2 linked regions of the Lonchura striata genome follow. Each later gene encodes a partner of the first gene's protein in a complex. Links are inferred from orthologs where the notes say so. Each region holds a gene or a part of one and is shown on either strand. Other genes may lie near its edges.

Evidence for each region.
Region 2: CAMLG (region 1) and GET1 share a complex: the UniProt entries of both Homo sapiens proteins name them as parts of the golgi to ER traffic (GET) complex. The link is inferred for Lonchura striata from reciprocal best matches to the Homo sapiens genes CAMLG and GET1.

Annotation. Positions count from the first base shown.
Region 1 is NC_134617.1:9,338,206-9,342,110, forward strand, and holds the start of CAMLG (guided entry of tail-anchored proteins factor CAMLG), read right to left. Parts: upstream 2,922-3,905; 5' UTR 2,916-2,921; coding exon 2,753-2,915; intron 1,674-2,752; coding exon 1,219-1,673; intron 349-1,218; coding exon 283-348; intron 1-282. UniProt on the Homo sapiens protein: Required for the post-translational delivery of tail-anchored (TA) proteins to the endoplasmic reticulum.
Region 2 is NC_134604.1:113,858,157-113,862,061, reverse strand, and holds the start of GET1 (guided entry of tail-anchored proteins factor 1), read left to right. Parts: upstream 1-1,276; 5' UTR 1,277-1,302; coding exon 1,303-1,410; intron 1,411-3,061; coding exon 3,062-3,227; intron 3,228-3,754; coding exon 3,755-3,822; intron 3,823-3,905. Other genes in the region: HMGN1 (non-histone chromosomal protein HMG-14), read right to left, coding at 535-585, 669-698, 815-847, 1,070-1,084. UniProt on the Homo sapiens protein: Required for the post-translational delivery of tail-anchored (TA) proteins to the endoplasmic reticulum (ER).

The sequences.
Region 1 (3,905 bases):
AGTTTCCTGAAGACATGAAAGAACTACCTGGATTTCCTGGTCAAACACTTTGAATTAGGCTACAGCTACACAAGCTGCTAGTTTTCACTGCAGCTTTTAAAAATATCCTGGACTAAATCTGGAAAGATTAAAAACTAGTATAAACTATCAGCGCTGGTCATTCAACTATACAGTTTAAAACAAGGGAAGAATACTTCACATGCATCGGTCCTAAAATACAATCTAAATACAAGTTTAAACTTAAAACACCTCAAATTAATCTAATTCTGAAAAAAAAATTACCTTTGGAAAGTACTTGGACAGTCCCATGTAAGCAAGTTGTAGAGTAAGAAACGGTGCAAATATTGACTGAAGGAACAGAAAAGAATATATAAAAATTAACTTGGTCAGAATAGCTAAGAAACACAAAGATTTAATGCTTCCAAAGCAGAAAAGAAAATTATTAGGTAAAAATTAATTTGTGGAACAGAGCAAAGTTGTTCTTGAATACTAAAAATCTAAGTAGACAAGTTACATGCCAAAAATAAGGTTCTGCCTAATATTCATTGAGCCAAAAGAACTGAAATGGCAGAAGAGAACAGCAAAGTGCAAAACTGAGCCCAGGGATCCAGGAGCTGTATGGCTGCAGCTGCATCACACCTCTGTGCTTTTGTTCTCGCTGGCACTGGGAATACTGAGGAACTACTGATAAATGAGTATCTTGGTACAACTATTATTCTTAGAATCACAGAATTATTTGGGTTGAAAGTGGCCTGAAAAGCCATTTCATTCCAAACCCATGGGCAGGGATACTTTCTACAAGATCAGGCTGCTTCAAGCTTCATCTAACCTGGCCTTGGACACTTCCACAGATGAGAGCTCTATTCTTACTCTATTATTCTTTTGTAGACCCTAAACTCGAGGAGCAGCTGACTCATATGCTCACCAAGATAGGAATAAACATGCAGGGCATTTAAGCTGCAACAACTATTCCAGTGTTCCACAACAACACACACAACAGACCAAATGTGCTGCTCTCAGTGGTTACACAGTGGCTGTATTTGTAGCAGATAAATCTCATAGAATTCAGCATTTTTTTTTAGGTTTTATATAATTTTTGGAAATATAGAGTGCCTGAAGTTCCCAACTGGGTCGTTACCAATAGACTTCAGCCCCAGATATTTCCCAGTAACTTGCACCAAGCAGCAAGCCCCAGCAGGACTGTGTCCCTGAACTCACCAGGTACTTGCACACGAAAGCCCTGACCACGATGGCGAGCAGAGCACACCCCAGCAATCTGAAAATGCGGAAAGAGTCAAACTCCTCCGCCGCATTCCCGTTCTCCTGGCTCGGCTTCTCACTCATCAGCTGGTTCCTCAGCTTCAGAGCTTCATCAAACCTGGACAGGTACTGCTCCAAGCCATGTCTCGGTGGCCGTGGTGCAGCCTCAGAGGGCAGCTCTCCCCTGTGACGCTGACGGAGCTCGCCTGTCCCCTCGGTGACCAGCTCTGGGGCTTTACCAAACAAGTCCTTGTCCCCTCTGAGCTCTGCCATGCTGCCCGCATGCTCGGTCGAGCCTGTCACGTTACACATAGAATCACCAAGCACAATCCGCTTGGAAACTGAAGGAATGGAAAGGGAGTTTGATTTCTCTTGCTCGTGCTGAAGCTTTAATTCTGTGTGACCTTCATCATCTAAGGAAGAAAAATAAAAACAGAGTTACGCATGCTGTGTACATGGAACAACACTTCAGCTACACTGGGTCAGGATCCTGGGCCTCTGCTTCCCAAGAGAAAAGACACATTTATGATTAAAGAGGGCACTCTTCATGGAGCAGACACAAGACATAAAGCTGTGCAATGCAGGTCAGAAGTTGAGGCAATAGAGATATTAAAACACTGAGCTTCCTTAAGCAAGAGCACTGCACACACAAACAGAAAGATCCAAATACATGGACTGAAATTAAAAAAAAAAGACAAAGATTTGCAGAAAGTGACCCAACCAAAAGAGCACTAATACCTGACAAAGAAGCAGACAAGAGAAGTGCACTTTAGCTTGCTGTTCTACTGTCAGAGGCAGAGCAGTGTTAATCTGTTCTGTATGAAGCCTGAAGACCCATCTTACAGAGACAGAGGTGAAGGCAGAGAGCAAAAGGCAAATCAAGAGCATGTCTGGACCTACCACAGAGCAAGAACTAACACTTCAGGAATTCTTTTCAGTGTTAAGTCAGACTGATTCACAGCTCATGGGCATCCTTATAAACCAAAATCTGAGAATTTTTCCTGACAAGACAGCCCATTTGAAGAATGTACAGAGATATAAGTGCACTACCCAGTATATGGCTCTGCAAGAAAATTCTGCGTAACAACCACAAACATCTATGTCACTATCCAAATGTGAGATAACTTGGCTATAAAAAGCCAGCTATGAAAGGCAACAGCTACTGACTAAAAACATGGGGGAAGCTCATCGATTCTTCAACTAAAAAACCTACTTGCAGTGAAATGACAGCTTGTATGCTCGCTGTCTAGGGACCGTGCCGGGCCCAAGTCCCGACCTTTCCGGCGGCACAGGGATTTTTTGGGCGGGTCCCTGGCGGAGCAGGGCAGGTCGTGCTGTGGAAGCATCCCTGCGGACGGAGGCGGCACTGAGGGGAGCCAGCCGCTCCTGCTCACCAGGGCACCGCGGGCAGCGCTCACGGCCGGAGAGGCCGAGGCGTCACCGCAGCCCCGGAGCCCTCACACAGCCCCGCCGCACCCGCCACGGGGCTCACCCTTGCCCGCCGCAGGCCGGTGGAAGCCCATGATGCGGTTGATCCGCTCCTCCGAGTTCATGAGCAGCTTCCTGCGGCGCAGCTCTGCGCGGCGCTGGGAGGCCGAGAGCCCCGCGGGGGGCCCCGGCGGTGCGGCCGCCGCTCCCGGGCCGCCGTCCGCCATCCCCGGCACCGCAGGCCCGCCGCCGCGGGCCCGCCCCGCCCACCGCGCAGGCGCCGGCGCCGCCCGCCTCCAGCCGCTGAAGCGGGCGCCGCCATTTTGCGTAGGGGCAGGAGAAGGGCGGGGCGCGCTGGGAGAGCGCTCCGCGCGCCCCTCTCTGACGGCGCGGCGCCCGCACTCAAGATGGCTGCCGCGGCCTCAGGCGTGACGTCAGGGTGCGGGGGTGGGAAAGGGCGATGGTGGCGCTGAGGGGAGGCGGTGACGGGGACACACACGGGACAGCCCCGAGTCTGGCACGGCACCGCCGCGGGGCTGGCGGTGCACGCCGAGGACACACCAACAGACAAGCACCGCTCGAGGACGCCAGAGCTACTGGCATTATCGAACAGGGAGCGTATTGACTTCTTTGCTGTAAGATCCAGTTGGCCTAATATCCATCTTTATGGCCACCGAAAATCCGGCAACACCTCTCCTTGTGTGCCAGGTAATAAAACTGCCACGTTACCCTGACCAGCCCATGACACATAGGGCTCCCATCAGCACCACTGTCCTGGCACCGAAAAGCTGCAGTGCCCTGCTCGGAGGCGCTGCCATGGGAGCGGGACTCGCCTCCAGAGCCCGGCAACCCAAAGCCACGGCCAGGACAAACCCGCTGCCAGGACAAACCCACGGCCAGGACAAACCCACGGCCAGGACAAACCCACGGCCAGGACAGGTGCCCACTGCCAGGACAAACCCACGGCCAGGACAAAGCCCACGGCCAGGACAAACCCACTGCCAGGACAAACCCACGGCCAGGACAGGTGCCCACTGCCAGGACAAACCCGCTGCCAGGACAAACCCACGGCCAGGACAAACCCACTGCCAGGACAAACCCCACGGCCAGGACAAACCCACTGCCAGGACAAACCCGCTGCCAGGACAAACCCACGGCCAGGACAAACCCACTGCCAGGACAAACCTGCTGCCAGGACAAACCCACGGCCAGCACAA
Region 2 (3,905 bases), on another chromosome or scaffold:
ATATTAGTAGGTGTATTTTATCCCCTCTTGTTACACAGGTGAAATACAACACTGTGCACAGAATCATTCATTTTGGAGAAGTCCTCCGAGATACTCCGGTCCAACTTTAACAGAGCACTGCCCTGTCAACCACAGCAGAGCAAACAACATCCCAGCCTACCCTTGGACACGTCCAGGGATGGTGACTGCACCACCTCCCTGGGCAGCTTTTCCAGTGCCTGACCAGCCTTTCTGTGAAGAAATTCCTCCTGATGTCCTAACGCACAGTTGTTTTGACAGTCAGGTAGTTCCACCCAATACCAAAGCACAATGTAACACGCATGGATCCGTGCCCACGCTTCCATGCAATGCCTGGAGCTTAACAAGAATCTACAGCCACCGCGACGGAATGTACCTGTAAATACTGGCAAAAGCTGATCAAAACATGGCAAGGGAGCGTTCCCACAAGGAACCAAACCATTCCAGCACGGTGCACGGAGGACACCACGCGGGATGCCCCCAAGCACTCCCTTCCCTCTTCCAATTCCCTCTCACCTTTGCCGGTAACTTTTTGGGTTTCGGCTCCGCTTTGGCAGGCGCGGGTTTCTGAGGAGAGAGAACAAGTCAGGCGGGGACCCAGCCCTCGGGGACCCATCCCGGCAGGGCCCCGCCGCTCGGCGCTCACTTACCGCGGAGAGCCGCGCCGACCGCCGCTTGGGCTGCGGGGGGAGACACACGCAGACACAGGGAGAGAAAGAGAAAGAAAGCGAGAGAGAGAGAAGGGCGTGAGGGGCGGGCGGGCCGGGGCAGCCCCGCCGCCCTGCCCTCTCCTTACCTCCTCGGGGGCGTCCCCGTCCGCCACCGTCACCTGCAACACACACTCGGCGTCAGCGGGGCGGGGCGGCCCCGGCCCCGGCCGCCCCCTCCCGCTCCGCCAGCCTCGCCGAGCCCCCCACGGCCCCGGCCCCCTCCCCGGCACAAGGGCCAGCCGCCGGCACCGCCCGGCCCCGCACCGGCGCCCGCGGCGCGGCCGCTCCCCGCCGAGCCCGCTCGCCTCCCGCCCGTCGCCGCTGCCGCCGCTCGCCTTCACCTTCCTCTTCGGCATCTCGAGGCTCCCGGCCGCGACCCCCGCGGCGGCGGCTGCCGGTGTGGCGCGGCTGCTGCGAGCGCGGCCGCCTGCGAGCCCCAGCCCGGCTGCGCAGCGGAGCCGCCCCCCTCCCCATCCCAGCAGCGCCAGCGGCGCCGCAACAGGATCCAGCCGGATCGGGGCGCGCCGCGCCATCGGCCCGCCCCGCGCCGCCCGCCGCGGGCGGGGCCGCGGCCATGGCCGACGGCGGCACTGCGGCCGACAGCGGCGCCTGGCTGCTGGTGCTCAGCGCCGTGCTGCTCTGCAACGCGCTCAAGATCCTCCTGCCCTCCTGCTCCTCGCTGGTGAGTGATGCCGCTGCCGGGGAAGGCAGTGAGGGCACCCCAGGATGCCGGCGGGGCGCTGAGGGGGTTCTGTCAGCGCCGGGCTGGGACGGGCAGGGCCTGGTGCTGCTGCTGGGCTTGCAGAGAAGCTGATGCTGCTGGCTGGGTGGCTCCCGCAGCCCCGCTTCCAGTGTCACAGTGTCACAGAAGTGAGGTCAGTGGTGCTCCTGAGCCTGCAGCCCTTGGGTGCATCGCGGGATGGTTTGGGCTGCAAGGAGCCTTAAGGATGATCCGCTTCCAGCCCCCCACCAGCGGGCTTGGCTGCTCAGAGCCCCGTCCAGTCTGCTCCTGGACTCCTCCAGGGATGGGGCATCCACAGCTCCCCAGTTTTGGTATGGGAAATACAGCTTTGCTCAGTCTTGCATGTTTTCAACAGATGCCCATTGTTGAGGTGGGAGATCAGTGGATATGGATATTAAGGAATTAAGTCAATGTAGGAATAAATCTTTATAATCTTAGCCACTGATCAGGGTGCCCCTGAGCTGATCTGAAGCATTCCTGTGCCAGCGTGGATAATGGATTTGAGGACAAATAAATGCTGTGGCTGCCAGATCAACTCACGTGTGTACAAAGATGCTGAAATCCCTGTCGCTCTGCTCTACCACAGAAATAACTTCACTGGCACAGAGATCAGTGTGCACTGTTCAAAAATGGACAAAAATCCTTTAAACCTTAAATCACCCTCAGCAATTTGGGAAGCTGAACTCGGTGCTGCTAGAGAAGAGTGATGAAACAGCCATAGGAGGAGAGGCTGAGGGCGTTTGGTTCGTTCAGTCTGGAGGAGGCTGAGGCTGGGATCTGCAGCTGCTCCCGAGGGACAGCTCTGATCTCTGGCACAGGGACAGCACCCAGGGAGGACTGGAACTGGGCCAGGGGGCCAGGGCAGATTTAGGGTGGGTTTTAGGGAAAGGTTCTTCCCCAGAGGTGCTGGCACTGCGCAGGGAATGGGCACGGCCCCGAGGCTGCCAGAGCTGCAGGAGCCTTTGGGCAGCGCTGCCAGGGATGCCCAGGTGGGATTGTTGGGAGTCTGGGCAGGGCCAGGAGTGGGACTCAATTCCTTGTGGGTCCCTTCCAACTCAGGATATTCTAAGATTCTCTGAAGATGTCTGCTCAGCTTTCTGCTGTGGTTTGAGGCTGAAGATGGTGTAAATGCTCTCACTGTCTGTAGGCCTGAGAATAGCATCCCTGGGGAAATAAATTACATGTGTCTTGGGGAAGATTTGCTAAGGAACAGCAAGAAAAAGATTTTATGTTCTTTGTGCCTGCATTTCTATGGCAAACAGTTCACAAGCCAACAAGCAGGTAGTGCCTCAATAAAAGAAATTAGGAAAGTAAAAGGAAGGGAGAAAATATTGGAATACTTGGCTGCTGGAGCTGGAAATGGGAATGATCACAGAATCGTTTAAAGTGGAAAAAACCCTTCAAGATCGTTGAGTCCAGCTTGAGGCTGTTTACTCTCATCTTGTCACTTGTTCGCTTGTTGCCCAAGGATTTCCTGCATCTCAATGAAAGGGCCTTTTTGATGGGAGGCTTTTGAGATCATACTTTATACAGACTAAAGCAAATCAGTGGGATTCTGCATCAGTAATTGGTCACTTCCTTCACTTCTTAGATATCCAGGCTGTTACAGAAGGATGCAGAGCAGGAATCCCAGATGAGAGCTGAGATCCAGACCATGAAGCAGGAGCTTGCCACCATCAGTATGATGGATGAGTTTGCCAGATATGCCCGGCTGGAGAGGAAGATTAACAAAATGACTGACAAGCTCAAAACCCACGGTACAGTTCCATGTCTGCTCCCTGTTCCAAAAGGAAAAACATTTTCTGTTTCTGAAAAGCTGTCAGGACTGTTTTCAGCTTTAAGTATTTATCCTTCAAACTTACCTTCCCCATCTCACCCATTTTCAGTCCTCTCCTCTCCTCTCCTCTCCTCTCCTCTCCTCTCCTCTCCTCTCCTCTCCTCTCCTCTCCTCTCCTCTCCTCTCCTCTCCTCTCCTCTCCTCTCCTCTCCTCTCCTCTCCTCTCCTCTCCTCTCCTCTCTTCCTTCTCTGTATAATTATTTATTCTTAGTGATGCCCATCACTGAATCCTCTTTTGAGTAAGTCAAGATAGAAATTACAGTGTGATATAGAGCTGGCAGTTTGTTGTAGAAGGGTGTTTTTAATATGGTTAGAAATCTTTTAGAGATATTTTCAAACAGGGTAATGTCCAGCCTTAAAGAGGGAAATATTAAAAAATTATTAATTTAATGCAATAATAATTCATTATTATAAATAATGCAAACTAATATTTTTTTTCTTTAACAGTGAAAGCACGAACTGCCCAACTAGCCAAAATAAAGTGGGTCATAAATATTGTATTCTACATATTGCAGGTAAGTAAATATTTTGTTATGGATACAACTTAACCCAAATCCTCAGTAATGTTACAATTCTCTCCTGGTTTTTTGGCCCATAG